7 linked regions of the Macaca fascicularis genome follow. The protein of the gene in region 7 purifies or fractionates together with the protein of the main gene of each other region. This does not show direct contact. Links are inferred from orthologs where the notes say so. Each region holds a gene or a part of one and is shown on either strand. Other genes may lie near its edges. The genes, in order: CDCA4, IER2, PABIR1, PPP2R1B, IQGAP1, MTCL1 and PPP2R2B.

Evidence for each region.
Region 1: the proteins of PPP2R2B (region 7) and CDCA4 purify together in Homo sapiens (affinity purification with mass spectrometry; 4 studies listed by BioGRID and IntAct, with this or other methods). This does not show direct contact. The link is inferred for Macaca fascicularis from reciprocal best matches to the Homo sapiens genes PPP2R2B and CDCA4.
Region 2: the proteins of PPP2R2B (region 7) and IER2 purify together in Homo sapiens (affinity purification with mass spectrometry; 3 studies listed by BioGRID and IntAct, with this or other methods). This does not show direct contact. The link is inferred for Macaca fascicularis from reciprocal best matches to the Homo sapiens genes PPP2R2B and IER2.
Region 3: the proteins of PPP2R2B (region 7) and PABIR1 purify together in Homo sapiens (affinity purification with mass spectrometry; 4 studies listed by BioGRID and IntAct, with this or other methods). This does not show direct contact. The link is inferred for Macaca fascicularis from reciprocal best matches to the Homo sapiens genes PPP2R2B and PABIR1.
Region 4: the proteins of PPP2R2B (region 7) and PPP2R1B purify together in Homo sapiens (affinity purification with mass spectrometry; 4 studies listed by BioGRID and IntAct, with this or other methods). This does not show direct contact. The link is inferred for Macaca fascicularis from reciprocal best matches to the Homo sapiens genes PPP2R2B and PPP2R1B.
Region 5: the proteins of PPP2R2B (region 7) and IQGAP1 purify together in Homo sapiens (co-immunoprecipitation; 3 studies listed by BioGRID and IntAct, with this or other methods). This does not show direct contact. The link is inferred for Macaca fascicularis from reciprocal best matches to the Homo sapiens genes PPP2R2B and IQGAP1.
Region 6: the proteins of PPP2R2B (region 7) and MTCL1 purify together in Homo sapiens (affinity purification with mass spectrometry; 4 studies listed by BioGRID and IntAct, with this or other methods). This does not show direct contact. The link is inferred for Macaca fascicularis from reciprocal best matches to the Homo sapiens genes PPP2R2B and MTCL1.

The regions. Positions count from the first base shown.
Region 1 is NC_088381.1:173,203,997-173,208,381, forward strand, and holds the start of CDCA4 (cell division cycle-associated protein 4), read right to left. Parts: upstream 3,081-4,385; 5' UTR 2,501-3,080; coding exon 2,219-2,500; intron 1-2,218. UniProt on the Homo sapiens protein: May participate in the regulation of cell proliferation through the E2F/RB pathway. May be involved in molecular regulation of hematopoietic stem cells and progenitor cell lineage commitment and differentiation.
Region 2 is NC_088393.1:13,559,267-13,563,277, reverse strand, and holds IER2 (immediate early response gene 2 protein), read right to left. Parts: upstream 2,377-4,011; 5' UTR 2,245-2,376; coding exon 1,573-2,244; 3' UTR 535-1,572; downstream 1-534. UniProt on the Homo sapiens protein: DNA-binding protein that seems to act as a transcription factor. Involved in the regulation of neuronal differentiation, acts upon JNK-signaling pathway activation and plays a role in neurite outgrowth in hippocampal cells.
Region 3 is NC_088389.1:99,502,930-99,507,366, forward strand, and holds PABIR1 (PPP2R1A-PPP2R2A-interacting phosphatase regulator 1), read left to right. Parts: upstream 1-1,311; 5' UTR 1,312-1,411; coding exon 1,412-2,275; 3' UTR 2,276-3,858; downstream 3,859-4,437. UniProt on the Homo sapiens protein: Acts as an inhibitor of serine/threonine-protein phosphatase 2A (PP2A) activity. Inhibits PP2A activity by blocking the substrate binding site on PPP2R2A and the active site of PPP2CA.
Region 4 is NC_088388.1:110,686,026-110,690,399, reverse strand, and holds the start of PPP2R1B (serine/threonine-protein phosphatase 2A 65 kDa regulatory subunit A beta isoform), read left to right. Parts: upstream 1-1,401; 5' UTR 1,402-1,428; coding exon 1,429-1,542; intron 1,543-2,400; coding exon 2,401-2,491; intron 2,492-2,888; coding exon 2,889-2,989; intron 2,990-4,374. UniProt on the Homo sapiens protein: The PR65 subunit of protein phosphatase 2A serves as a scaffolding molecule to coordinate the assembly of the catalytic subunit and a variable regulatory B subunit.
Region 5 is NC_088381.1:75,037,231-75,041,111, forward strand, and holds part of IQGAP1 (ras GTPase-activating-like protein IQGAP1), read left to right. Parts: intron 1-3,099; coding exon 3,100-3,213; 3' UTR 3,214-3,881. UniProt on the Homo sapiens protein: Plays a crucial role in regulating the dynamics and assembly of the actin cytoskeleton.
Region 6 is NC_088392.1:77,204,225-77,208,105, forward strand, and holds part of MTCL1 (microtubule cross-linking factor 1), read left to right. Parts: intron 1-166; coding exon 167-1,480; intron 1,481-2,577; coding exon 2,578-2,733; intron 2,734-3,721; coding exon of another isoform or gene 3,722-3,736; exon of another isoform or gene 3,737-3,868; intron 3,869-3,881. UniProt on the Homo sapiens protein: Microtubule-associated factor involved in the late phase of epithelial polarization and microtubule dynamics regulation.
Region 7 is NC_088380.1:153,678,886-153,682,766, forward strand, and holds part of PPP2R2B (serine/threonine-protein phosphatase 2A 55 kDa regulatory subunit B beta isoform), read right to left. Parts: intron 3,386-3,881; exon of another isoform or gene 3,199-3,385; intron 2,803-3,198; coding exon 2,609-2,802; intron 1-2,608. UniProt on the Homo sapiens protein: The B regulatory subunit might modulate substrate selectivity and catalytic activity, and might also direct the localization of the catalytic enzyme to a particular subcellular compartment.

The sequences.
Region 1 (4,385 bases), on a different chromosome or scaffold from region 7:
CCTTCAGGACAGGCAAAGTTAATGGAAGTTGTGAAAACACAGAAGGGTAGCCACCATCCGGGTGGGAAATGCTACAAGGGGCCAGAGGGAATCCTCCAGAATGATGGAGATTCTCTCGCCCCTTGTAGCACTTGCGTAACCCAGGGACCTGCGTAGATGTGCCTGGGTTATACAAGTCCTACAAGGGACGAGAGAGAATCTCCATCATCCTCCACTGCATCTCATCCCATCCACAGATCCCATTCTGGTACCATGAGAATATTCCTGTTCAGTCACTTCAAATCATTGCTGTCCAATGTTCCAAATCTCCAGCAGCTAATTCTGTGTTGTACCCAATATTTTAAAATGCTAACAAGTTTATTACTATTAATACAAAAAGGAGTAAAGCTCACAGGTGTTTTTTACAGTCGCGTGACCCCTAAGAGCTGTCACCCACAACGTGCGTTCAGGGGTGAAGAGGATAAGGTTGGGCCCGGAGAAGCTGGCCTGTGAGGATCACCCTGAATTGGGCCATATCTGTGTTTGGGACAAAGTCACCAAGAGCATCATCTTGACCAGCCCTGAGGGATGCCTGGGCTGGGCCCAGCTCCCTGAGGGCCTCCAGTGTGACTCTGGCCTGAGGCTGCTTAACTCCTTCTAATATGGAAGGAAGGGCCCTATACCATACGGGCGGGGCTGTGGAGCCTAGCTCCCTGCTCAATTTTTTTTTTTTTTAAGAAGGAGTCTCATTCTGTCCCCCAGGCTGGAGTGCAGTGATGCAATCTCAGTTCACTGCAACCTCCACCTCCCAGGTTCAAGCGATTCTCCTGCCTCAGCCTCCTGAGTAGCTGGGACTACAGGCACGTGGCACCACACCTGGCTAATTTTTGTATTTTTTGCAGAGACGGGGTTTCACCATGTTGTCCAGGCTGATCTCCAACTCCTGACCTCAGGCAATCCGACCACCTCAGCCTCCCAAAGTGTTGGATTACAAGTGTGAGCCACCATGCCTGACCCCCTGCTCAGTTTTGAAGCTCCTTCTACACATCTAGGTAAATGCCTAAAATCCCACCAACTCCACAGGGTGTCAACGGGACAGCCAAGTCGTTCACCCCTCAGTCAACTCCCAGCACCGCCCTTAGGCTTCTAAACCAAGCATCAACCAGAAAGAGAAAAACCAAGAGGGTCAGACAGACTGAAGATATGTCTGACATGGCAGGTGGGACAGCCTACAGGCCACTAGGGACAGAGTAAACTAAGCCCACGGAGGCAGAGGCCAGCAGAGAGCAGCCCCGCAGTGCTACTCAGGCAAGCAGAGTACAGCTGAGGGACCGGCCCTTCACTACAGCAGCAGCCGCCACACCTTCGTGGCTGAGCAATCCCATGAGGCTGGCTGAAAATGCAGATTCCCAGATTCTGACCAATAGGGCTGGGACTGCTGGGGACAGACTCAACTCTGACCTAACCTGTCACCTTCACAGCTGGACTTGCAGCCACTTCGAAGTTTCGGGTTAAGCAAATTATCAACAATTTCCATTTCTCACACATCAGATAAGCTTTGAAATACTCTATCGGAAAAACAGGAAGAAGAGGAGCAAGGTCTTCAGTCTTGAGATCTACTGAGTGGGAGCTCCACCTTCCACTACAGTCTGCTGGAGGCTGTTCCTGAACAATTACTGATACGTTAATTTCAGGGGTTATTTTTGTTTTGTTTTGTTTTTGAGACGGAGTCTTGCTCTGTCGTCCAGGCTGGAGAACCTCCGCCTTCCGGGTTCAAGTGATTCTTCTGCCTCAGCCTCCCGTGTAGCTAGGATTACGATTACAGGCATGCGCCATCACGCCCAGCTAATTTTTGTATTTTTAGTAGAGACGGGGTTTCACCATGTTGGCCAGCTGGTCTCGAACTGGGGACCTCAGGTGATCCACCCGCCTAGGCCTCCTCCCAAAGTGCTGGTAAGTGTGAGCTACCGCGCCCAGCTAATTTCAGGTACTTTTGTTACTTGGAACGATACACCTTCCTTTCCCTGAAAACATGTTCCAATGGCAAGTTGAGGGAAACTTCCTGGCCCCTTTTCTAAGATAAAGCCTACCACTCTTCCTAGAAAAAGGGTGTAACTCACTTTGTGTTGATTTCCACCCTAATTATAAAACATGGTGACACTTGAAAATAGAGTGGTTGTACGTAGAAAGTTTATAAAACCTAAGTTTTGGGAACAGGCGATGTTTTTCTGTGGCTCACTTTGAGAGAACGGTTATCTGGGTCCTGCCGTCTCGTGAGTCCCACACGAAGGCCACAGGAGAGGCGAGGCAGCGGAGACCCTCTATTCCAGCAAGCTGTACGAGCCTTTGTCACGACGATCCTGTTTACTGGACGAGAAGCGTTTGAAAACGCGCAGGGAAGCTTGCCTCTGACTTCTGCAAATGTCTCGGGGACTCTTCCTAATCCCACCTCGGAACGCCGGAGGAGCCCAGGAAAGACGGCGCTGGCCGACCCGCCCGGGGTCTGGGCCTCCTCCCACATCCTCGGCCCTCTCCGCGGCCGGGATCCAATTGAGGGGGCTGCAGCGCGCCCTGGCCCGGTTAGTGAGGTCGGCCCGGGACAGGGCGGGGGCGGCCGTGGCGGGGCGCGCCCGGCGTTCCCTCCGCGGCAACTAGAGCCGAGGTACAGGAAACGCCGCTGCGTACCCCAGCCGGGCCCTCGCGAAGTCGCTCCCGTGTGGGGCCGCCCGGAGGCCTCGACGAAGCCCCAGCTCCGCAATCCGCATGGAACGCAGACGGCGGCCCGGGCCCCTCTGGTTCCCCGGGCCCCCTCAGCAGCGGCCACCCCGCGGTGGAACCAGCGCCCAGGAGGGCGGCGAGGGCGCCCGCGGCAGCCCCAGCGGGAACCCTGAGCGCCGCCTCCGCCCCGGACCCAAGCCAGCGCCAGGAGCCACAGACTCCGCGCACCGCCCCCGGGCTCCTCCGCGCCCGGCAGCACAAACGCGCGCGCCGCCGTAGACGCCCTCGCGGTCAGCCAGACCCGCTCACCTGACCCGCGAGGCCGCCCGCCGGCTCCTCTGCTCAGCCGCCGCCACCGCCGCCGCCACCAGCTTCCCGCCGCTGAGGGAGGAGCGCCCGCCGGCGCGGGGCGGGGCGTGCGACCGCCACTCAGCGTCCACAAAGGGTCGACGCTGCGCCCTCCGCGCGCCGTGCCCACTGATTGGCCACCCACGGACCGGGGGCGGGGCCTCTTGTTCAAACCCGCGCGGGCGGGGCATCTGCGGCGCGTGTTCCCGCGCTGCGGCGACGGCCGTTGGGGCTCGCGCGCGCCCTCGGTCGCCCCGCCCCCGCCTCCGCCTCCGCGCCGGGCCCCGCGACGCCCACGCCGCGCCGGCTCCCAGGTCTCCCCGCGCCCAATCCGGCCCCGCCCAGCCCCGCCGGCTCGCAGGTCTCCGCACGTCTGGTCCTAAACTGAATGCGCCTGCGCTGGGGGCCCACGTGGTGCCCTCGGGAGGGCGTGGCGGGGCAGCCTGGTAGGGGCTGATCCTCTCTCGCTTCTGCCTAGGTTAACTTCTCTGCCGAGGGATCCGTGCCGGGGTGGGGAGGAGCCGGGAACGGCAGTTCCCGGGCGGCCTGGGCTCCGAAGTCTATCCCAGCCTCTCCAGAAACCGCGGTTATCTCTAGAGGCTTCCCAGGTTTACACGTAAGAAATGTAACGTGAAAGTAGAAAGCAGGGAAACACGTGTTTTAAATCTCTTAGTGGAAAAGGTTTTAAATAGGATACAAGAGTCTAATATTCTTTGAACGCCTGCAGCAGGCCCGGCAGGCGTGGCTGCAGCTGAGAACCCTGTGCTGGTGGTGGGGGAATCCTCAGCTGAATCCGCAGATGCGGATGCGCCAAGGTCAGTGGTTAATGCTGAAATGCTGTCGGAAAAAGCTGGGAGTGACGTTGGGGCGCTGCTCACATAGGTCTCTAGGATAAGAGGCGTCTTAAAGCACCAAAAGGAAGAGTGGAAGAGTATTCCAGGAGAGGAATGGCTAGGACAAAGCCCGAGGCAGGGGCAGGAAGAAGTCTCAGTGCAGTGAAAAAGAACCCTGTGATCTCGTGGGAAAGTTTAAATGTGAGAGGTGGAGTGATTTTGAGGCTGTTCTCTGAGTGGGATGGAGACTACTGGGACGGTCAGCAGAGAAGGAACTGGGATCTGAATTATGCTTGAAAAGAATCACTGTTCTTATTTAAAAAAAAAACAAAACGGGTTTATTTCGCCCATGCTGGAGGACAGTGGCGTGATAATGGCTCACTGTATCCTCGAACTCTTGTGCTCAAGTGATCCTCACGCCTCAGCTTCCCACGTAGCTGGGACTACAGAAGTGTGTGCCACCACACCAAGCTAACCTTTTTTTTTTTTTTTTTTTTTTTTGGTAAT
Region 2 (4,011 bases), on a different chromosome or scaffold from region 7:
AAGCCGGGTGGAGACACTGCTTAGAGGCCCATTTCACAGATGAAGAAACTGAGGCTGCACGTCCCTGCCTAAGCCACAAAGCGATTTCTCCAGGAAGATACGGGAATTGGGGCATAAATAGCCCTTCAAAGCTCACCCACTCAGCTCCACCTGAGGCTGTAGGGCCCCGGCCGCAGCTGATTCAGTTTGGTCTCGGGGTGGGGGCGGGGGGAGAGATCGACCACCTTTCAAGGCTTCAAAGGGCGATCAGTCCCCAGCTCCGCTTGGGGCACTGTTTAGTACTATCGTCTCAACTCAGAAAGCCCAGACCTCCCTGTCCCGGAGTTGTAGGACAATTTCAAGGGAACCCCCAAATCTGGAGGGGGCGGGGCTCCAGTTAGGGAATGCCCGGGCAAGGAAAAGAGGGCCCAGCCCTCTCCCGCCCACGTGGTAACCGGTCAGACCGGTTCTTGGGGCCCCAGCGAGCCGCCGCCAGCCCCTGACCCTTTAACCCCGCCCCTCCCCCACCAGAGCAGAAAACCAGACAGCACCGGCTTTTTTACTCAAATGGTCTTTATTTTCCTATCTGACATTTCTAACAAAACGCCAGGTAGACGGAATTAAAAAGAATTCACCACACGAAGGGTAAACAAAACAGACCCTCAGGAACTCCCTGGCAAAGATATTCCCCTCCCCAGATTGGCCCAGTTTCACCAGCAACTGGTCTCAGCTCAGCTTTATGCCTTTCCACTGACACCCCCACCCCTCCAACATTCTCGTGATTCAGACCAGGAACTTCTGGGATGATTGTGTCCGTGTCTGAGGGAGGGGCACGCTGAAACCTGGGAACCTACTGGGCACCTCTAATGCAGATGAGAAAAACTTGAATGTGAAACTAGATCAGCCCCCGCTCTCACCCGAAGGTGCAGAGGCGCGGGACATTAACCAGCAGCACGCGGGGATGAAGTGACTCAGGCCATTCTCCTCCCCACTCCCCAGGGCGGGTGCACGCCCCAGACCCTCCTCCCAGGCCCCACACCCACGCAAGGCGACAGGAAGCTCCCCACGCCTGCCCCATGACGCAACGATGACCGCTTACACAAGTATGTCAGTGGAGGGGGAAGGGGAGTGCCTGGAATTCTCCGAGGTTGGAAACGCAAAACCAACTCTTGAAAAACCTTGAAAAGGGCCACCACAGCCCCCAGTACAAAATCAAGTCCGACCCTGAGATCTAAAAAACAAAACAAAACAAAAATACAAAACAAAAACCCAAGCCTCCCTTCTCCCAGTCCAGAAGGAGAGCGAAAGGTTCACGTCCCAGTCCACTAAGAGACCTCTGGGCGCAGGTCTCTGCGGAAGGCGCCCGCGCCCCCGGCTCAGACTCCTCGGTGCCGTCGCTGCACACTGAAGGCGATGGCTCCCCGGGGACAGAGTCCCTCTCCGGGCCTCTCAGCAGCCCGGGCGGCGGCTTCTCTCCACGGTTTTCGCGGGCGCTCCCCCCGGGATGGAGGGGGGTGGCCTCGTCTCGGGTCTGCGCCCTCCGGCCGACGGTTCGACGCGCGCTCTGGGATCTGGCAGCGCCGCTCGGGGTCCTCAAAAGGCCACCACGGCCCGCACGAGCACGTTGAGCATGCTGTCCGCCGGGCGGCAGGCGGGCTTTGCCTCGCACGCGGGCGGCGCCGTCGGAGGGGCCGCGGGGCTGCAGTTCAGGAGGCCGGAGAAGCGCCTCTGCAGGACGCGGGCCAGGTTGGGAAAGGCGCCCTCCGCTTGCGCCGGGGGCGGTTGCAGGCAATCGGCGACTTCGGATGACGCCCCCTCCTCTTCCTCCTTTTCTTCCAGCCGGGCTTTCTTGCTCGGGACCAGTCCAGCGTCCCCGCCGTCGCTCAGGCTGCTGCTGCGTCGTTTGCGGCTGACTTTGGCGGGGCGCGGGCCACAGTAGGCGGAGGTCTCCTCGGCTGTCGGCGCCTCCTGCGTGTCCATGGGCTCCGGAGACGGGTGCTCACCGTCGGGGGTCGCTGTCTCGGCCGTGGACTCAGCTTCCCGGGGCGGGTGCAGGCGAGGGTCAGAGGGGAGGGCGGGCGGCAAGGACACTTCGGGCTCGAGGGCCTCTACCTTGGCCGAGAGGTAGAGCTCCCGGGCGCTGCGCATGACCAGCGACAGCTGCAGACTCCGGTGCAGCCGCAGGCCACCGCGCTGCATGCGGGAGTGATACATCTTCCACACCGACAGGGTCATGATGCGCTGTGCCTCCTTCTGCACTTCCATGGCGACTCGACGGCGACGGCGGCGTGGGCTCCCGGGACGGACAGAACAGGCAGCAGGTGCACTCCGGACAACGAGCTCGCTCACGCCTCTCTCCACAAACCAACCCACGCGGTGACACTGCTAGGACGCTCTGCCCGGGCGCCCGCCACCCAGGCCCTTTTATACCCCCAGTGACGTCACTGAGAAACCCCGCCCAACCGAAGGACGCATCCGGGCTTTCCAACTCGTCGCGGCCAAACACTCCTTAAAGCGACAGAATGCGATTTACCCAGCAGGGAAAGCGGACGGGAACCCTGGCGAAGCTTCCCCCCACTCCACGCTGAGCTCTCTGGGTGGGCTCCTTTCTCTCGGCCCCGCCGATGCATTAGCGCCTTGGCCCAAGGAAGGGGGGCCGGGGATGGGGCTCAGGGCCTACCCACATGCTCGCGTCTGGAGGCCCCAGTGGGTCGTGGGTGGCAAGTTTCCCTTCACACAGGGAAAGACCTGGGTTCCAGCCTGACCATGAGTGTCTTCTGCACCAATAATCATGCTAACAGCGCTTACTACGTGCCAGGCTAGGTTAAGAGCTCTCCTTTTATCCGTAATTCACCGAACCGCAGCCTCCACTCCTCGGAGGATACTGTTCTATCTGCTTCTTTCAAATGGGGAAACCAAGGCACAGTCACTGGGCCAATATTTACTAGACAAACAATATTTGCTACTGCTGTGAAAGGAGGCCACTGGGGCCTCCAGCTCTTCGGTCTCTAGCGTACGACAGCCCTTGCTTGTAGGCGGTGAGCCGCTGCGGGTTCCCGTGATTCGTACCAAGCCATTCCCCCGCAGTCTCCTGCGACAGGAGCTCCATGGGTGGGTTTAGAGCTCGCAAGGCTGCGAACCCGGCGCGCACGACAGTCCCCGTGAACACGTGGCTGCCGCCCCCCAGACAAGGGGGGACGAGTTCCGCCTCCGCGCTCCGGGAGGCGGGGTTCGGTTGGGAGCTGGAAACCCAGCAATGCAGAGACACAGCAAATAGAAAACCTCCGCCTTACCCTCCGCTACGCGCCGTCTCTCCAAGAAATCCTAATTGCAATTCCTCCAAAAAAAGGATGCAGACTTGTTCGAATGGCTCCATTCATTCCTGGTGCGGGCCCTTTAAGGGGTGGTGCGCCTCCCGTTTCCGCCCGCACTGGCTCGCGGCGCCTTCCCGCCACCAGCGCCCGCTGACTTCCACAACTAAATTTGGACGGAGTGACGTAGGACAGTCGCGCGGGCCGCTTCCGGTTGCCCATATTAGGAAAGGGCCCGTGATCGCCTTACCAGGCGGTGGCGGGGCTTCCGGGGGGGCGAGGGGCGGGGCTTTGCGCTCCAGGCACGCCCCTTCCCATCCCCCGTCTAGCCAGCCGGAGCAAGCTGGAGCCCCAGGCTTCCTGACTCGCATTCCAGCCATGTGGGTGGGGAGGAGAGTTTCACTTCCTTCCCTCCAGGGGCCAGGAAGGCGTGACGCCAGGAAAGCACCCCGCAGCGGGTAGGGGCGACCGGAGGGCTCCCACGAAGGCCATCTCCCAGAGACGCTACAGAACGACCCTACATACACAAGAGACGACCCGCTGAGACCCCGTTCATCCCATCTCTCCCCTTCCCAATTATTTCCCCCATACAAGGCCCCCTCCCAGGTTATCCCTGACCCCTGCCCCACACTGATCTTCTCAGGCCTTGGGGCACCCTCCCGTCCCGCCCTCCCCCCGCACGGTGGGAACTCAAAAATTATTCCCCCCTAAAAGACCATTC
Region 3 (4,437 bases), on a different chromosome or scaffold from region 7:
AGATCCAACTCTTACCCTCTGCTAACACTCGCCGCTCTTATGCTTCAGCAGCACTGCCCTTCTTTCTTTTTCCGCTTACTCAACAAACTCATGGCTGCCTCGGGCCTTAGCACTTGCTATTCTCTCTGCTTGGAATACTCATTCCCCAGATGTCCACGTGACTTGCTGCTGCTTGTCATTTAGATCTCAGCTCTAATTGTCCGCTGCCTTCTATCAGTAGTGCTCCATCACACCATCTTGTTTTTCCTAAGGCTTTACCACTATCTGAAAATAGCCTGCGTTTATTTCTGTATTTTCCCCTCAGTAAGAATTAAAAGTTCTCAGACTAGGGCCCATTTCCTAGCAGTGTTTGGCACATAGTAAGTATGCTGGAAAAAAAAAAAAAAACCTTGACTGAATAAATGAACAAATAAATTCACTTTTAATGAGCTATCAAGGTTTCATATTAATTACATGAGCCAAGAATAGTGTTTTTATTTTTAAAATGTGAGGACCTACTGGTTTTCCTTTAATCCTTCATACTTCACACATATGCTTGTGCTGGAACTATGACTGTAAATCAGTATCAGTACCATCCCCGGTTTTGGCTTTTTCCCCTAACCTAAACAGTTCTCATTTACTTTTCTCTCCATCTCCACTTCCACAGTCACCTTAGTGCAAATTACCATCCTCTCTGGCCTTTTTTCTGTAAGGTTTTAATCTCCCAGTATTTGTTCTCCAGACTGCAGGCCAGTGAGCTTTTCAGTTGCTATTATACCCATGCTTGAAAACCCTTTAAGTTTTCATTGTTCTCAAGATAAAGACCAGAATGTGGTCTGGTCCACCACCTCACGTCACGCCAGCCCTCACTCTCCACTCCAGGCCACACTTTCTCCTCCCCTCCTGGTTCCCGCCTGCCACCTGGCTGGGTCGCCCTTGCTTCCCGCTTCCTGCGAAGTTTTACATCGCACCCATTTCGCCCACTTCTTCGGATTTCAGGACACTGTTCCTTCCTCGAGGAAGCCCTCCCTGATTCGCAAGCGCCACTCCCCGTCATACAGCCCCACATCACCATGGGCCTCTCTTTCAGGGCTTTGTTCGTTTTATAAATATGTACTCCAGAATATGACAATCTTATTGACGTTCGTCAATGCCAGTTTGCGCTCAATAGCTATTTGCTGAAGGAATATACGGACTAGCGGCCCGACCACTCCTCGCCCCTCCCCTACCACTGCCGCGCAGATATTACGCATAAAGCAGGCGCCTCGAGGACGGACATCGCGAGCGCCTGCGCGAAGGGGTACGCATGCGCAGAGGGGCCAGCCCGCTGACAGATTCTCGGTGGCGGCGGCAGCGGCGGCGGCCCTGGACTGCGGGGAATGGGAATCCTAGGTCCCTGACTGAGCACCTCCCCCGCCTCCCTGCCCCCGACATGGCTCAGGAGAAGATGGAGCTAGACCTGGAGCTGCCTCCGGGTACGGGCGGGAGCCCGGCGGAGGGCGGCGGCAGCGGCGGCGGCGGGGGCCTCAGGAGGTCTAACAGCGCCCCCCTGATCCACGGCCTCAGTGACACTTCGCCGGTGTTCCAGGCCGAGGCGCCGAGCGCCAGGCGGAACAGCACAACGTTCCCGAGCCGCCACGGCCTGCTGCTACCGGCCTCCCCTGTCCGCATGCACAGCAGCCGCTTGCACCAGATCAAACAAGAAGAGGGTATGGACTTGATCAACCGAGAGACGGTCCACGAACGGGAGGTGCAGACCGCAATGCAGATAAGCCACTCCTGGGAGGAAAGTTTCAGCCTGAGTGACAACGACGTGGAGAAATCCGCCTCCCCCAAGCGCATCGATTTCATTCCTGTGTCACCGGCACCGTCACCCACTCGGGGAATTGGGAAGCAGTGTTTTTCGCCATCCTTGCAAAGTTTTGTAAGTAGCAACGGATTGCCTCCAAGCCCTATTCCCAGCCCAACGACCCGATTTACCACCCGGAGAAGCCAGAGCCCCATCAATTGCATTAGACCAAGTGTTCTTGGACCATTGAAAAGAAAATGTGAAATGGAAACTGATTATCAGCCAAAGAGATTTTTCCAGGGCATCACCAACATGCTTTCTTCTGACGTTGCACAGCTGTCAGATCCTGGTGTGTGTGTATCTTCGGATACCCTTGATGGAAACAGCAGCAGTGCCGGATCTTCTTGTAACTCACCAGCGAAAGTCAGCACTACCACCGACTCTCCTGTGTCACCTGCCCAAGCGGCTTCTCCATTTATTCCACTAGATGAACTTTCGTCTAAGTGATTCACTCATCCTGAGACTTTCTTTTTGCAGTGGAGAGAGAGAATAATCAAGTTGGGGCAAACACTGAACTTTGTCAATTAATTTGAGGCTATTTCCTATTCGACCCCTTTTCTTTTTTGAAATTTCCTGAAATGATGTTATTCTAGAGAACTTCTATGTCAGGTTCCTGCGGATACCTTTGAATTCAGTGTAGTAATATTTTCAGACGTTTCCCCAATAAGTGTGTTGAAGCATACATCTTTACGCTGCTACTATGTCTAAATACATATGTTATCCCTTGATTTTTTTAAATAATTGAGAGCTCTATTTATTTATGGGATTATTAAGTTCTGATGAAAATATAAATGTTGACTTAATCAGCATAGTAAACTGATGTTTAAAATTCCATACTTCATGCCCACACTAATTTTTAATGTTATTTTCAGTGGTTTGCCGATTTCCATTTGATGAAGAACTATACAGCTTAAAAAAAAAATACGTTAGTTATATCAATCTAGTGGTTGTCTGTTTTACCCAGGAATTCTTGGATATTTAGTTTTCTGGGTACCGAAGTGGGTGGGAGGGGGAATGATTAGAGAACAAATTATAAAAGTTTGCAACAAATCCTTTCAAATTAAGTATATAAAAGTAAACTTTTAAGGAAAACATTTTTAATGAGATTTTAATAGTAATTCTAGTCAGTCATACAACTATATTATAGAGAAAATAAAAATTTTCCTTTTTTTTTTTTTTTTTTAACCAGAAAGTGCATTTGCTTGGGTGCAATCCTAAAGTGAAATGGGACAGTGCCTTGCAGTCTTTGCCCACTGTACATAGGCTAAGGCTAAGCTCTTTGTACTACTGCAAACGTAAAAGTTTTTCAAATGTAGAAAATGTGTGGGAAGGCTTGTTGAACTTTGGCGCGCCCAGGTAAACAATACTCTCTCTCAATTGTTGATATACTTTAAAATATTCAGTTGTGCCTCAGTTCCAAAAATTATTGCCAACCAGGAGCCAGAGCAATTTTTGGCTACTTTTCTGCTCTGCCCATCTGTCACCTTACTGGTTTTCCCTTGTTCAGGAAGGAAGCAGCTGTTTCCTTGCCAACAGGTCCCTTCCTTCATCTCCCACCAAAGTAGGGCACCATTGATTAGACAAAGGTACAGTGTAACTTGGATTTCTGACAGCAACAACAGGACTGAATTGTTTAACCTCTGTGGTTAAAGCTACAGCTTGAGTTGACTGCCTTGGGGATGTCCATTAATTAAGGGGTGATGATTTGCAAGAGAAAATTAGTGGAGAGTCACATAGGTAAATCATTATTTAACTTAGGTTTTGCTAAAGGTAGAATAGTCGAATGTTCTTTTCTTTGCCTTTACAATTAAGACAATAAGAATAACAAAATTTTCTTAATATTCTTCCTTATACCTCATATAGCTTCCTTAACTAGATAGTTTGACAGAAAGAATGGCATACAAAGAGGAAAGGGGAAAAATGACTCAGAACAAGACAAAAGCTCTGACTTTTTAAAGTTATCACTTACAGAGACTAACAATTTTGTGGAATTTTTACGACTATGAAAATAAATGGAACTGGTCAACTCTTGATGGTTGCCTCAAGATGGAGTGAAATTGCATTGAGGGTAAGACTGTGTCCACAGGTTTAAAATTCTCTCTTCTGAGTAATAGTGTTCATGTGCTCCCATTCTCAACCTTGTTCTTCAAATTCAAACTTAAATAGTCTGACTTCTTGTTGGGTAACTTGCCCTGCCTCCAGAGGTATTTAAACTTCATTATCTTCAACACAGAAATTGTTAATCTTCTCACTTCACCTATTCTTGCATTATCTCAATTGATGTCATCACTAATTTCCTAAACTAGAAATCATGGAAGCATCTTTGACTTTTCCTTTTCTCTGTTGGATTAGCTTAATCACCAAGTCCTGTCAACTTCTGAAATGAATCTCAAATTTCTTCCCTTCTCTATCTGTTGCCCCTGATTTTGCCTTAAGTTTTTGCCTGAGTGATCTCCCAGGCTGTTTTCTGTCTCCTTTTGGTTCAGTCTTTATACTGCCTCTTGAGAAATCTTTCTAAAATTTAAACTTGATATTTTTCACCCTCTTGCTTGAAAACTTCATTTGCTTCCCCATTTCCTACTCTTTAAGGAATGATTTCTTTAGCCTCA
Region 4 (4,374 bases), on a different chromosome or scaffold from region 7:
CTATCAAAGGCTCTATCTATTGTGCTTACTTCCAAGCACCTCATTCATTCATTCATTCATTCATTCACAGGCTCTATTGTGCTTACTTCCAAGAACCCTATTTATTTATTTATTTATTTTTGACACGGGGTCTCACTCTGCCGCCCAGATTGGAGTACAGTGGTGCGATCCTGGCTCACTGCAACCTCTGCCTCTGGGGCTCAAGAGATTCTCATGTCAGCCTCCTGAGTAGCTGGGACTACAGGTGCCGGTCACCAGCCCAGCTAATTTTTGTATTTTTAGTAGAGATGGGGTTTCACCAAGTTGGCCAGGCTGGTCTCGAACTCCTGGCCTCACGTGATCCGTCCGCCTCGGCCTCAGACCCCATGTTTTAAAAAAGTCTGTCTCCTACACTGCATTAATAGTTTCATTAATCAGGCATATAGAATTACCATTTCGGAGCTTGTGATCACCATATGTAGTTATCACTCCAAGCTGCTTAAATTCCAGTCTAAAACAAACAAAACATTCTAATTATTCTGTGCTACCCTGACAAGGATAAGTGAAAACTTTCCATTCAGGTTTGTAAGAACGAGCTCCCAGACCTCCACCTCTTCCCCTTGCTGCCTCTGAGGACTCTTGGAGGTCTAGGGAGGCCAGTTTGGGTTTTCTTCCTCAAGGGATTAAAGCTTGTCCTAGTTTTGCTTCATTGTTGTACTTCTAGCATGCTAAAGAGCTAAAAAATGGGAGGAAGAAAATACAACAGAAGGCACCATTCCAGTACCAAACTGAAAAGAAACACAAAAACAAGAGAGCAGCATGTTTTTAACAGCTTGCGTGGAAAAAATATTGACTGGGGAGTTTGGACAGCACTGTTCATTTTCTCTCACCGCCCGCGTTATTTGTCTTACGGAGCAGGAGCCAGATACCATTCTGGAGAACAGGCCGACGGAAGAGGTGGAGGGGTTCTGTGGAAGCTTGAGGCTGAGCGGAGAAATTAGGGCTGGAGATCCAGTGGCTCAGGGCCAGGATGAAGTCAGGGGAGGTGCTAAAGCCTTTTTCCTCCTGGCCTCGGGCACTCTCTTTGGTCCGCCTGAGTCTTAAGAGGGCACAGCGCGGATCACTCAGGTAGGTCCCTGGCCCCTTCAGACTACAACGAGCCGGATGAATCCCTGTCCCTGTTTCTTTCGGCTGGGGAAAGGACGCAGGGGTTCCATTCGCTTTCTCAGCCCACCCGTCTTCTTGAGTTCAGACCTACAACTCCTGCAGTGGGGGTCGGAAGGGAGTCTTAATCATCGGGACAGAAACTCAACTCCCCAACCTCTGCTAAACCCGCGCGGCGGCCTTCTCCCCTGCTGCCCGGGCGCGGGGCGGGGCCTGGGCGCGGGGCGGGGGCGGGGCCTGGGCGCGGGGCGGGAGGCTGTGACCAGCAGCAGGAGGAGAAAGAACATGGCGGGCGCATCGGGGCTCGGGACCGGCCCAGGAGCAGCGGGGGGAGATGGAGATGATTCGCTATACCCAATCGCGGTTTTAATCGACGAGCTCCGCAATGAAGACGTGCAGGTACTGGACTGAGGCCGGGGAGCCGAGGCGAGACCGACTGGTCGCGTGGTAGAGAAGGGGGAAGGCCTGCGCCTCGGTGGGGGTGGCCGGGGTACTGAATGAGCCGGACTCGTAGCAGAAACTTGAAGGGGAGGCAGGGAAAGCTCTGCGAGGGGCTGTGGTGACACGCCTCGACCCTCCCGGGGACCTCTCTGGTACCCCTGCTTCGGACCCCCTAAGGGGTCCGCCCGGAGCCTTGCCTTTCCAGGGCGGTTGTCGGGGAACCCGCTTCCCGCCTGGGCGCCCTATCCGGGCTGTGAGGTGGCCGCGCCTGGTAGGCGAGGGAGCTGGAGAAGCGCGGTGCCGGGCCGAGACGGGGCTGGAGCGGCTGAGGGGCGCAGGATGCCCAGAAGCTCTTTGAAGTGCCTCGGAATCCCTTCATCTGGGCTTGGAACTGGCTCGTCCTGTTGGGTAGAAAGAGGGGGTGGGATGGCCGATTAACCTGGACGAGTCGTTGTATCAGCTCTGCGGGAACTTTTCTTTGAAACCACAGGCGTTGTATTCAACCGTTTCACCTGCTTCACCACTGCCAAAGTCCTCTCTTTTTAAGATTATCTTACTTCCTGGGTGTTGTATTGTCTTTCATTCATTTCTCTTCCAGGCCCTTCTGAGTGTTTCTCCCAGGAAATCTTCCGCCGGCTAGTGAGGCCGAGTTACACTCCTCCGTCCTATGGAGGTTCCTTAACAGTAAAATCTAAGTAAAAGGTTATCTTCGTTCTTACCCCTGTGTCATTATTTCACCTGTTAGCACCTTTTGTCTTTTGATCTAAATTCAGCCGTTTCTTTACATTGTTCTTCTTTCTACTTTCTTTTCTGAAGCTCCGACTCAACAGTATTAAGAAGTTATCAACAATTGCCCTAGCACTTGGAGTAGAAAGGACGCGAAGTGAATTGTTGCCATTTCTTACAGGTATGTGAATCTTTGTTTAAAGAAAGGCAGGGACATTCATTTTCCAGGGACTTTCGACACTGACTTTTTTAGAGTTTGTTACCCACATTAAAATGAGCCAGGTGCTTTCTGTGCAAAAGAAACAGAACAGAGGATATTATTAGTTGTGGTTAGATATATTCAAACATCAACCATTTAGCTGTTGGGAAAGTAATTGATATGGGAGTATGAATTTCTAATTCGTTGTGCAAAACAGATCCAGGAAGATGGTTGATTGAGGAGAAGGAAGAAAATGCTGTTAGGATTTTGACTGGGCCACCTTACCGGTCGCATAGTGAATCTGTTCCTAGTTTTGTGTCAGTGTCCAGCTATGTGAGAGCTATCCATGTTGATGAGTCCCTGTTGTTGTCCCTTCCAGATACAATTTATGATGAAGATGAGGTACTATTAGCTCTTGCTGAGCAGCTGGGAAATTTCACTGGCCTAGTGGGAGGTCCTGACTTTGCCCACTGTCTGCTGGTGAGTATTTATAAGCTGCCTACCCTCCTAGAACTTTTGCAGTATAAATGATACACAGTTTGGTGATAGACACACTGCAGCATTTTTTATGCAGATCTTTTTATGGGCAGATAGTCATGTGAGTCATTGAGAGAAGAAATACTATAGGCACTTTGGACTCAACCCCTTCTTTTTTTTCTGTGAATAAGAGAACTTCGTCCTTCTTTTCTGCATCTGTAGACTTACTAGTTTAGATGGAGGTAGAAAAAGGATTTGATTGTTTTAATGGTTCCCCCGCATGATGTTGGAAACCTTAATTCTCACCTGGCAGCATTTTGTCTTTGTCAATTGTAACTTTTGCTTCTGACTTTCTGATGCAAATTGATGAATTTTTGATGAATTTGGTTCAATTTCATTGACATTTATTAAGAGTCTACTTTTTGGGAGGCCGAGACGGGCGGATCACGAGGTCAGGAGATCGAGACCATCCTGGCGAACACGGTGAAACGCCGTCTTTACTAAAAAATACAAAAAAACTAGCCGGGCGAGGTGGCGGGCGCCTGTAGTCCCAGCTACTCGGGAGGCTGAGGCGGAAGAATGGCGTAAACCCGGGAGGCGGAGCTTGCAGTGAGCCGAGATCCGGCCACTGCACTCCAGCCTGGGCGACAGAGCCAGACTCCATCTGAAAAAAAAAAAAAAAAAAAAGAGTCTACTTTATCAGACATATCGTAATTTACAATGTTAATGTTGAAGAAGACCAATGTGAGGGGGCTTGGTGGCACAAGCCTGTAGTACCAGCTACTCAGGAGGCTGAGATGGGAGGATCACTTGAGCCCAGGAGTTTGAATTCAGCCTGGGCAACATAGTGAGATCCCCATCGCTTAAAAAAAAAGAAAATGACCACCAAAGTGAATTGAATGAGGTCCCTTGCCTTTATGCGTCAGCAAATAATTACTGTGCAGTCTTAAATGGAAAGGTGTAAGTACCTACAAAATACCCTACCCACGTAATAGAGGGGAGAAAGAGATTCACTCAGGGTGATCAGGGAAGACCTTGGGAGATGATGTCTAAACTAGGTTTTAAAGGATGACCAGGAATTCAACAGATGGACAAGGTAGGGATGTATGCGTCAGGGCTTTCAATACTGGGTAGTAATACTGATTCTGGTGATTTCTATCTCTAGTTCTGGTTTTTCCATGGAACTCCTGAGGTAGATTGATTAATAGATAAGTATGAATATATAGATATAGATACATATATTTCTATGTATACAGGCCTATGCTTTTTTCTACTTGAATGTCAAACAGGTATTTCAAACTTAACATACACAAAACAAAACTTAGCTTTATCCCCCAAATACACTTCTCATTTAGTTGTTCCACTTAAGTAAATGGTATCACTGTCTT
Region 5 (3,881 bases), on a different chromosome or scaffold from region 7:
GAAAACATTTATCTGAAGCTTCCACTTAGTGCTGCCACTAAATTGAGCTGATACCTTGGACTTGAACAAAATGCATAAGTACACATGCTGACATTGCAAAATTGTAAGTCCACTCAGTAGCTTGAAATTTTTTTCTCATTTTGATTTGATGTAGGTACTTAAAGGTTAGATGCACTTCTGACAAGGTGTGTGTAAAGTTTATGTTTGTAAACCACATCCTATCTTAAATCCAAAAAGAACTCGGGAGTAATTCATTTTTACAGCATAAAGATCCCTAAGTTTTATTTTGAAATATCTGATTTTTACACGTTAAAAAATAGCAGGGCATTGAGAGGATTCCTAGGTGACGTCCAGACTCCTTTAGCTTTGTGTGTGTGGCACCAGTTAGTCTGCTCCCGTCTCCTTTCTTGCACTGCTTCACACAGCCATGCCCTGCCAGCCTGGGCAGGTGCCTTCCTGTGAATGTGCATTTGGACTTCTGCTCATGCTGCCCTCCCTCCCCTCCCCTGCCTTCCAACCCCACCCCTTTTGTTCCTCCATCATTTGTCAAGTACTTCCATGTGTGTACCTCCCCCAGCCAAGCCATAATAGGTGGTTTCCCCTTCACTTCTGTAGCCTTTGCAGACATCCTCTGTTTACAGTAGGTGTTGACTTACTTCCCCTCTCCCCGCTAAAGCCATAAACTCCTTAAGGACAGGTAGCATTTCTTAGTCATCTTCGTTTCCTTGTCAGTGACCAGTAGACCATTAAAACATGTTAGCTAAACAAATGTGAAATGATTTTGTGATGCACACAGCTAACTGAAATACTTCCACCAAAAAAAAAAGGAACCTCATTCCCTCAGTTCACCAAATTGTTATTGTTTTAATTTTAAAATTTTTTTATTTTATTTACGTGGAGTTATCAGAACATATTTTTATTTTTAAATTTCTTAACCAAATTGTGTTAGGCCAACCAGTCTGCCTATGGTAATTTATTAATTTATGTACAAATTCATTAAATGTGGGGTGACTGCCAGGTGTGGGGTATTATGTTAGGCACAGGTGCCAGCAGCCTTCATGGAGCTGCTAGGATTTTTCCAGCAGATGATTGAACTTGTGGGGTCCTTTCTTTTTTTTTTTTTTTTTTTTTGCGGTTGGGTGGGGGAGCGGTGGAGTCTCACCCTGTCGCCCAGACTGGAGTGTAGTGGTGTGATCTCCACTCACTACAACCTCCACCTCCTGGGTTCAACTGATTGTCCTGCCTCAACCTCCTGAGTGGCTGGGATTACAGGTGTGCACCATCACGCCCGGCTAATTTTTTTTTTTTTTTTTTTGAGACAGAGTTTCGCTCTTATTGCCCAAGCTGGAGTGCAATGGCGCAATCTCGGCTCACTGCAACCTCCACCTCCCGGGTTCAAGTGACTCTCCTGCCTCAGCCTACTGAATAGCTGGGAATACAGGCGTGTGCCACCACGCCGGATGCCCAGCTAATTTTTGTATTTTTAGTCGAAACAGGGTTTCACCATGTTGGCCAGGCTGGTCTCTAACTCCCTACTTCATGATCCACCTGCCTCAGCCTCCCAAAGTGCTGGGATTACAGGCGTGAGCCACCGCACCCGGCCTTGTGGGGTCCTTTCAAGCCTTTTGACCCTTGCTTTCTCATCACCATTTTTCTAAAGTTTAGAAGTGAGAATGCTCAGATTTCTTAAACTTGTTCAGGACAATGGCGAAAGTAACAGGAAAAGCAAGAGCATTGCAGTCAGATCTGGATTTACCACGTCCATCTCTGTCCTGTGGTGCAAGTCATTTAACATCTCAGAGCCTCGATAGCTCATCTTTAAAATTAGGATGATCGCACCTCATAAAAATTTTTGTGAAGACTTTTAAAAGATGCTATATAATGTGCTTACACAATACCAAGCACATGGCAGACACCTAATAAAACATCAAGTTCTCTCTTTTCTCCTTGCCTTCAGGATAAAAAGTTTTCTCATGTTACCGGGCGCGGTGGCTCACGCCTGTAATCCCAGCACTTTGGGAGGCCGAGGTGGGCTGATAATGAGGTCAGGAGATCGAGACCATCCTGGCTAACACGGTGAAACCCCGTCTCTACTAAAAATACAAAAAATTAGCCGGGCGTGTGGTGGGTGCCTGTAATCCCAGCCGCTCGGGAGGCTGAGGCGGGAGAATGGCATGGACCCAGGAGGCGGAGCTTGCAGTGAGCTGAGATTGCCCCACTGCACTCCAGCCTGGGTGGCAGAGCGAGACTCCGTCTCAAAAAAAAAAAAAAAAAAAAAAGTGAGTGTTCTTATGTGGAATAGAAATTAAGAATCTAGGGCCGGGCGCGGTGGCTCAAGCCTGTAATCCCAGCACTTTGGGAGCCGAGACGGGCGGATCACGAGGTCAGGAGATCGAGACCATCCTGGCTAACACGGTGAAACCCCGTCTCTACTAAAAACTACAAAAAAAAAAAAAGTAGCCGGGCGTGGTGGCGGGCACCTGTAGTCCCAGCTACTCGGGAGGCTGAGGCCAGAGAATGGCGTAAACCTGGGAGGCGGAGCTTGCAGTGAGCTGAGATCCGGCCACTGCACTCCAGCCCGGGCTACAGAGCGAGACTCCATCTCAAAAAAAAAAAAGAAATTAAGAATCTAGCAGATAGTATTGAGGTGACATTACCAGCCTTGTCTCATTTCCCATGCTTAGTATATTTTATCGTAGGTTTAATCTTCACCTTTTCCAGATTTATTAAAACTAGTGACCCATAACATGGATGAAATGCGAAAATGTCATTGTGACTTCTGAAATAAAAAGCTTAGGTGTGTGTGGCAACTGAACATGTTTCTTTTTCTTTCCATGTATGATGAATTTTGATATGAACAACATGACTTCCTAACTCCAAATCAACCAGAAGAGCCTTTTGGCCAGTGCGCCCTATTGCTCCAGCTCTCAGGCTGGTTGTGCAGTGGGTAGTTTCCTAGCTAGGAACTTTTCTTTCACCCCAGTTCACATCTGGCACACAAGGCAGGCCTCAGTCCATCTGGAGCCCTCCCTACCTTGTGTCCTTTTTCCTTGTTCCACAGACTTGATTAACTGTCAAAATGTTTTGTTTTGTTAATAGGACCTGCTGCAGCTACAATATGAAGGAGTTGCAGTCATGAAATTATTTGATAGAGCTAAAGTAAATGTCAACCTCCTGATCTTCCTTCTCAACAAAAAGTTCTACGGGAAGTAATTGATCATTTGCTGCCAGCCCAGAAAGATAAAGGAAAGAAGCACCTCATAGCTCCTTTCTAGGTCCTTCTTGACTCATTGGAAGCAAAGACCTAGCCCACAACAGCGCCTCAGTCTGATACACTCCCGATGCCACATTTTTAACTCCTCTCGCTCTGATGGGACATTTTGTTACCCTTTTTTCATAGTGAAATTGTGTTTCAGGCTTAGTCTGACCTTTCTGGATTCTTCATTTTCTTCCATTACTTAGGAAAGAGTGGAAACTCCACTAAAATTTCTCTGTTGCTACAGTCTTAGAGGTTGCATTACTTTATTGTAAGCTTTAGTGTTTGTTTTAATTACCAATAGGGATGGTAGGATTCAAATTTTTGTCATTTAGAAGTGGAAGCCATTAGCACCAATGACATACATACAGGATGCACAACTAAAATGTCATGTTATTAACAGTTATTAGGTTGTCATTTAAAAGTAAAGTTCCTTTATATTTCTGTCCCATCAGGAAGATTGAAGGATATGGGGAATCATTTGTTATCTTCCATTGTGTTTTTCTTTATGGACAGGAGCTAATGGAAGGGATGGTTGTATGTTCAAAGGAAGCATTTCTAGAAAAAAGGAGATACTGTTTTTAAATTTCATCATCAAACTTGGGCAGTTCTGTTTGTGTAACTC
Region 6 (3,881 bases), on a different chromosome or scaffold from region 7:
CCCTGCTTTGTCTTGGGTCTTTCTCTGTGTAACTCAACGGCACCGACGGGAAGATCGGTGTTTGATGTTTGTGTGCATTGGGGGCGAGGTGTGAGGGGAATCATGAAAAACACGAACATTTGGTATTTTCAAATAACCCTTCTCCCGGGCTGTTCTTTCCTGGCAGGATGACAGTGCCGATTTGAGGTGCCAGCTCCAGTTTGCCAAAGAGGAAGCCTTCCTGATGCGCAAAAAGATGGCCAAGCTAGGACGGGAGAAGGACGAGCTGGAGCAGGAGCTCCAGAAGTACAAGTCCCTCTATGGAGATGTGGACAGCCCCCTGCCCACGGGGGAAGCAGGCGGGCCCCCCAGCACCCGGGAGGCCGAGCTGAAGCTGCGGCTGAAGCTGGTGGAGGAGGAAGCCAACATCTTGGGCCGGAAGATCGTGGAGCTGGAGGTGGAGAACCGTGGCCTCAAGGCAGAGATGGAGGACATGCGGGGCCAGCAGGAGCGGGAGGGCCTGGGCCGGGACCACGCACCCAGCATTCCTACCTCACCCTTCGGCGACTCCCTGGAGTCCTCCACTGAGCTCCGCCGCCACCTGCAGTTCGTGGAAGAGGAAGCGGAGCTGCTCCGGAGGTCCATCTCCGAGATCGAAGACCACAACCGGCAGCTGACCCATGAGCTCAGCAAGTTTAAGTTTGAGCCTCCCCGGGAGCCGGGCTGGCTCGGGGAGGGTGCGAGTCCTGGTGCCGGGGGAGGGGCACCCCTGCAGGAGGAGCTGAAGTCAGCCAGGCTGCAGATCAGCGAGCTCAGCGGCAAGGTGCTCAAACTGCAGCACGAGAACCATGCGCTGCTGTCCAACATCCAGCGCTGCGACCTGGCAGCGCACCTGGGGCTGCGTGCCCCCAGTCCCCGGGACAGCGATGCCGAGAGCGATGCAGGCAAGAAGGAGAGTGAAGGGGAGGAGAGCCGCCTGCCCCAGCCCAAGCGGGAAGGCCCTGTTGGCGGGGAGAGTGACTCGGAGGAGATGTTCGAGAAGACGTCGGGCTTCGGGAGCGGGAAGCCATCGGAGGCCAGCGAGCCGTGCGCCACGGAGCTCCTGAAGGCCCGGGAGGACTCCGAGTGCCTAGTGACCCTAAAACACGAGGCCCAGCGGCTAGAGCGGACGGTGGAGCACCTCATCGCGGACACCGACAGCTTCCTCCGTGACGCGGGGCTGCAGGGGGGTGCACCCTCGCCGGGGCCTGGCCTCCAGGGTGAAGAGGAGCGGGGCGAGGGGGACCGGCAGGAGCCTCACCTGCTGGGGACCATCAACGCCAAGATGAAGTCTTTCAAGAAAGAGCTTCAGGCCTTCCTGGAGCAGGTGAACCGCATTGGGGATGGCCTATCCCCCTTGCCCCACCTCACAGAGTCCTCTAGCTTCCTCTCCACTGTGACTTCCGTGTCCCGGGACTCCCCCATCGGGAACCTGGGGAAGGAGCTGGGCCCAGACTTGCAGGTAAGGGGGCTCGTGGCTTCGCCTCCCTGCTCCGCCTTGCTCTTCCTCCTTCTCGCTGGCATTGCTGCACTCGGGCTCACGCTGCTCACGGCTGCTTGGTTATGATTTCAAACCTGCATTGTACTAAAGCCTCCGGGGCAACCGGATCCTCTCTCTTGGTTGGGCTCCGTTTTTTTTGTTTTTTGTTTTTTTTTTTTAAGTTTTCTTGTATTGCCTTGTTTCTTTTTCCTTTTTCCTGTCTTATTTTTAACTGCGCCACGGCTCATGGTTTAGAGGCCCTCCCAGACACGAGGCTAAGCCCAGTGGAAGCGATAGGGCTCGACGCAGGCCGGCCTTGCTCCTCTCTTGGTATCTCAACCAACCAGCCACACGCTGAAGAAGCCGTGAGGAGGCTAAGACAAACGCATGTCACAGTCAGGATAATTAGCAGACTCGCTACCAAGCACGTCCCTTCCTGGGTGTGTTTCAAGGGACACAGTGCAGTCCAAGGCCCTAGGCAGCCCAGGCCCCCATTCCCGCTGGAGGATCAGCCAAAGCGGGCGAGGAGCGCGGTGCTGAGAAGGATGATGGTTTTGGTGGAAAAGCGCTGCTGGCTCGTGCCGCCCTGCCGCCGCTGGGGAGGGCGCGGAGGGCCTCCGAGGACTGCTGTCCTAGCCTCGCCTGGGTGCATGGCCCAGCTGCCGCCCTGGACTGTGGCTTTGGCTGCTCGACCCACAAGTAAGGAAGGAAGAGCCTCGTTTTCCGTTTCCTTCACGGGTAGCGTGCTTGCGGTTGAGTTCCGGATTCACGCATCGCCATCGCATGTGCCCCGTAACCAGTGTTTTGCACCCCCACTTTCTCTTTTTGCTTTTCGGATGTGTCCACCCGCCCTTTTGCTCATTCTCATCTTGGGTCTGTTCTCTTCACTTTCGTCCACCGCTGTCTTTAAGCTGGTGTTTCTATTTGTGCTGTTCTTTGGTCGTTTTCTCAGTCGTCTCCCTTACCCATTTTTGTTTTCTTTATCCCCTCTCCCTGCCTCCACCTTCTTGTCCTTTGTGTTTTTTGTTTGTTTGTTTAAAATTTAAAAAAAACAAAAATCCCTCCCGTGCACCTAACAGTCCAGACTGAGAGAGCAGCTAGAGTGGCAGCTGGGGCCGGCCCGAGGGGACGAGCGGGAGAGCCTGCGCCTCCGAACTGCACGGGAGCTGCACCGCCGCGCAGACGGGGACGCCGGGAGCCATGGGCTGGGAGGCCAGACCTGCTTCAGTCTGGAGGTCAGCGTGGGCAAGCAATCCCCGCCCCCCTTCCATTTTCTGTGTGGCTGGCTGCCTGACGTTTTCTGTCCCGGACAAGGCCCTGAGGGAACATGGCAGGAGGATGTGGAACTAGGTGGAACTCACTTGGCAGCAAACCCATTGCGTGCACTGGGACAGGCAGGTGTGTGCAGGTGCATGCGGTGAACTGCTGTGCTTGTCAGACAGAGGGACAGCTCACCGCAGGCGCTGTCCACCTCCTGTTTCCGCAGACCGGGAGCCCCTGGAGGCAGGCCGATTGTTGAGCGCGCAGTGGCTTCTTGTGCAGTTGCAGAGAACAGGGATGAAAACTCAGCCCGGGCTTCCCTGCTCTGGAGGAAACTCCCCTTAGGGCTCCCCTTTTTCAGTTGTTGCCTGTGTCTCGTGTGACCATCCCACGGTCTCGAGTGATACTGCCAGCCGGTTGGTAGAGTCAGGGAGGCTCACTCCTGACCTGTGGGCACCCTCAGCAGGCTCTTTCACCACAGTAACCCGGTGTACACAAGGCTGCAGCCACCACAGGGACCATGGTTGGAACTGTTGTCAGAAGCCTGGGAGAGTGAAAGCTCTTAGACACAGGCCACCCCACCCGGGAGAGAAAGAGGGGGTTCCCAAGGAGCTGTTGAATGAGGAAACACCTCTAAAAGTCCAGATGCTGTGTCAGTGTAAAGTATGATTAGTAATAGAGAATGCAATGTCCTGCCATTGGGGACTTACAAGGGGGAAGTATGTCATAGCTCCCCTAGTCAGGGGCCAGTTTTCCCTTCCCACTGTAGCTCTTCCTTCTTTGCCATGGGCTGTTTCTGGAACCACAGCTCCGGCTACACAGGGCGGCCCCCTTCCCTTTGATGGTTGGTTTTACAGGAACTGCATCTCCCTTTCCAAGTGTTCTGCCCTTCAAGGTGTGTCACACATAGCTGTGTGCAGTTAGAGCCTGTGTCAGACAGCTCTCCTCCCGGATTCTTCCTAGGTCCTTATTGTGTAACCTGGAGCAGTGATAAGTGGTCACCATCGTGAATGCATAGCATAGCTTCAGAAACTGGGAGTGATTTGGGAGAGAGAAGCATACTGAGTTGAAGCAAACCAAATACTGAGGGACAATAAAGCTTCACAAGAAGTAGATTAGCAGA
Region 7 (3,881 bases):
GAGAGAGAGAAAGAGACTGAGAGAGGGGAGCTTGGGTGAAAGTGTCCTTTAGCATTTGCATTGCTCTTAGCTGGATGAACTCGCCTGCAGCCACCACTTACAATGCAAATTGAGTTTAGAGTCCTTCACACTAACTACACAGCAAAAACCTTTCAGCTTTAAATAGAACACTGCAATGTGGAATGATCTGAGCAAACGGAAGAAAAATTCAGAAATACATGTGAAGGAGATATTTTGGAGGAAAAAAAGAACAATCTGACATAACTGAGCAGATAGGAGGAAAATGTAGAAATATTAAAGGAAACAGAAAAGCAAGATCTATAGAAGGAGCTAGAAGCTAATTCCCCACCCAGTAAGTGGGTATAAGTTAATAAGGGGGAAGAAAACTTGTGGGGCAAGTCCCCAGTGAGGATAATTTTAACAGAGTCTTTTGATCTGGTGCTCTTTCGAGGTATACTAACACTTCTTAAGGTATTCATTGGAAGAACCGGGACTCTTCCCCCTCTGGCAATAAAATTGCATGAATCTTCCCTGAAACGAATAGGTCAAAACCATAGGGAACTTCTTGCTCTATCTAACTTCTGATATTTACATCGTTTAAGTTCTCTTTTCCTTTTCTTTCCATACCTTCTCTAAGATCAGATTTTAAAACCTGGAAGCTTCTGTGAAATAAAGGTTTGTTAGTTTTAAGTGTGTTTAGTATGTGTATATGTTTGAGAAAGAGAAAGAAATCTGAGAGGTTGATTCTCACATACCAGAAAGCTCATTGCTATAAACTCATATCTAATTGTTGACTACATGAACCTAGATATTCTATCCAGAATCAGAGTTTTCAAAAATGGAATAAAAATAAGAACAAAGGTAATATCCAGGGCCCTGAAAACAATAAAAGAATGCCATTTTAAACTGATTTCTTCACTTCACAGTTGACACTCCTATACACATAGCTCCACTCTGGTCATTTTCTCAGCTTGCTAAGTTTCTCTTGCCTGCATAATGTAATATACAAGAAAACACGAAGGCAGCTTTCTTTCTTTGTGGTTACAAACAGAAAGAAATTTACCCCCCAAAGCCAACAGATCCAAGGCCAGCTTCTCTCTTGGATGACATGCTTAGCTACAGAGTTAGTCATATGCTATCAAGTCACTGAGTCAGTGACAAAGCACTAAGATTGAGGGAGAACATCTTGCAATCAGGTTGCCATCATGCACAGAAAAAGAATCGGTAACTATGGTGCTCTGGATAGGGGAGAGATGGACTGCACATCTTAAAAGCCATCTCTAAGCTCCTGGAGGCCAGAGCTTACAACTCTGCTTTATCTGTCTAGCACCATGGGCATACTGGGCTTGATGCTCTCCAAAAATGATGGCAAATTGAGAATATACTTTCAATAGCACTGGGCATTCCTTCTATCTAGAACTTCCAGGGATGTTTATAGAAGATGCCACCTTTACCCCCAGATGTGTGTGTGTCTTTTTATTTCTTTCAGAGTTTGAACTATTTTACTCCCCCATCACATTTCTCTAGTAGTCTTTTGATTTGATTAAATATTACAGAAATGTTAGCATCCAAGAATAATAATTTTAAATGAATACAACTTGCAACATTGTCCTAAAGAACTTCCACATACATTTTCTCGCATGGATATTACAATGTGATAATGCAACACTTTGTAGGAGTGGCTAAGGATAAAAGGCCTACAGGTAGAAAATGAAAGCAAAAATGCAAAAGTTTTGGCATTGGGGGGAAAAATGCCTCTACTCTCTATTCACACACAAAAGGAAGAATGAGATTCCACCTGCTGACTTGCCCTCCCTGCCCGCACAGCACTAGGGCTTATGTCAGAACAAGCTGGGAGAGAGGGAGAGACGACAATTTCACCTCTTGGCAAAGCTCAGCTTGCTGAACCCTCTTGCTTTCTGCTGGCTGTTGATTCAGCAGAAACTACTGCTGCAGAATTCATAATGGTGATTTTTAAAGGCCCCACCGATCGCGTTGCTCGCCCCACGTGTCAGCCTCATTCGCTGGCCGCTAGAGCACTATTTCCCCAGCCACCTTTTTATTTTTGCTAATGCACTTCCAAAAGGAAAGACGTTCGGCCGTTTGCAAAGGGCCTTTGGGGTTTTGATTGTCTGAGCAGGTAACCTGGCCGGCCGGGGAGATGAATGGGCAGGAAATGAAACCATGCCCTCCCTGCAGCCACTGAGAGACATAACATCGTTTCGCTCAGGGAGGGGGTACCAAGGTCCTACTGGGCCCCTCCCTTCTTATCTCCCCCCAAAACCCCCGCAAACATCTCGGGCAAGGGATCATCTGCCTTCCTGGGGTCATCTTTCTGGGCGAGAGCCCCACCCTGAAAAGCCTAATCCCTGAGGGCCATTTTAACTCCCGTGGGCGCCGGGTCCACCTGCTGCTGAACGCCGGGCTCGCCTCGCGGAGCCCGGATGGATGCGGGGTGCACTGGCGGCTGCCGGGGCCAGCCGAGCCCCCGCCCCAGCCCCAGGGCCCGGAGGAGTCTCCGCCACTACGCGCCCAGCTGCCCACGAAGCACAGTGATCCGCAACTTGCGCCCGGCCCCAACGGCGGAATGCGGCGGGGCTGGCGTTACCTTCGGTCGCATAGCTGTGGTCGCGCAGGAAACTGTTGTTGATTTTGCGGGTATCAATGTCCTCCTCCATTGACAGCAGGCTTACTTGCGTGGGAACCAGAAGCCGGCAGACAAGTATCCATGATCCCTCCCCGCAGCCAGTCTCACAGGAGAGGGGGGCAGGGGAGCCAGTGGGACTGCACCATGGTCCGAGCCTGAGGAGGAGACGGGGAGGCGGAGAGAAAAAAAATAAAAACCCGGCAATGGAGCTGTCACCTCCTCCACTCGGGTTCTGCGAGGCTGCGGCGGCTCCTCCCGCGCGGTGCGCTCACTCCAGCTCCAATTCCCAGCGAGGATGCTGCGCCTGCCTCCGCTGCCTCCGGGTGCCAAGATGCGCCGTGCCCCGAGGGGTCTGGTCCCGCCCGCCCGCCCCGGAGGCGCTCACAAGCGGGTCTGGGGAGATGCCCAACAGGTTCCCCTCGTTGGCAGCCGCTCCAAAATGCAAAAAAAGATCCCTCCTCCCCCTGGGAGAGCGGGCAGCCGCGACAAAATGGTGCCTTTCTGGACCCGAGCTGCAGTGGCGAGATGGCAGGGACAGGATTCAGGCTTGCCTGGCCGGAATGAGGGTGCTGGTCCCACGGGAGGGCGGCTCCGGCAGGCGGGGGTAGGGAAGCTGGCGGGGAGCTGGGCAGGGCGCTGCGGCCGGCGCCAGCGCACTCACCCTCACACCCACACGCGCGCACTCGCAGCTGCTGCTGCTGCTGCTGCTGCTGCTGCTGCAGGAGGCTGGAGGCGGCTGGTGCATTAAAGGCGAGGCTCCTCCCAACCGCGTCAGCAGCCCCAGGACTCTTTCCCAGCAGTGGTGGTGGCCGAGGCAGAGGCTGCGGTTGCTCTTTACTGCAGTGGGGCGCATGCAGCCGCGAATCGGCACCTGGGCAGCAAGCGACTAGCTTGCAGGTTCAGGTGGAATGCATAGACGTGCTCTTCCAACCTCCTCCCCTCTCGCGCCACTCAGCTAAGGGCTGCATTTACGCTAGCACCCAGAGCCCCTAGCTCACTGCCCTTCTCCGAACACTTGCACTTGAGGACAGAAAAGAGAAGTAGGTTCCTTTGGATAGTCAGGAAGTCTACATCCAGGTCCCTTTTCCTCACCCTTATATGATGCATGTGGTCCCTTGGTGAATTTAAAGGGCGAGGTTTGGAGCTGGAAGCTTCAGAAAGAGAGGAGAGAGTGGAAAGCGCCGCTCAGAGCCTATCTTAAGCCCTCCACTAGGAATAGGAGGGAGAGCAGGGG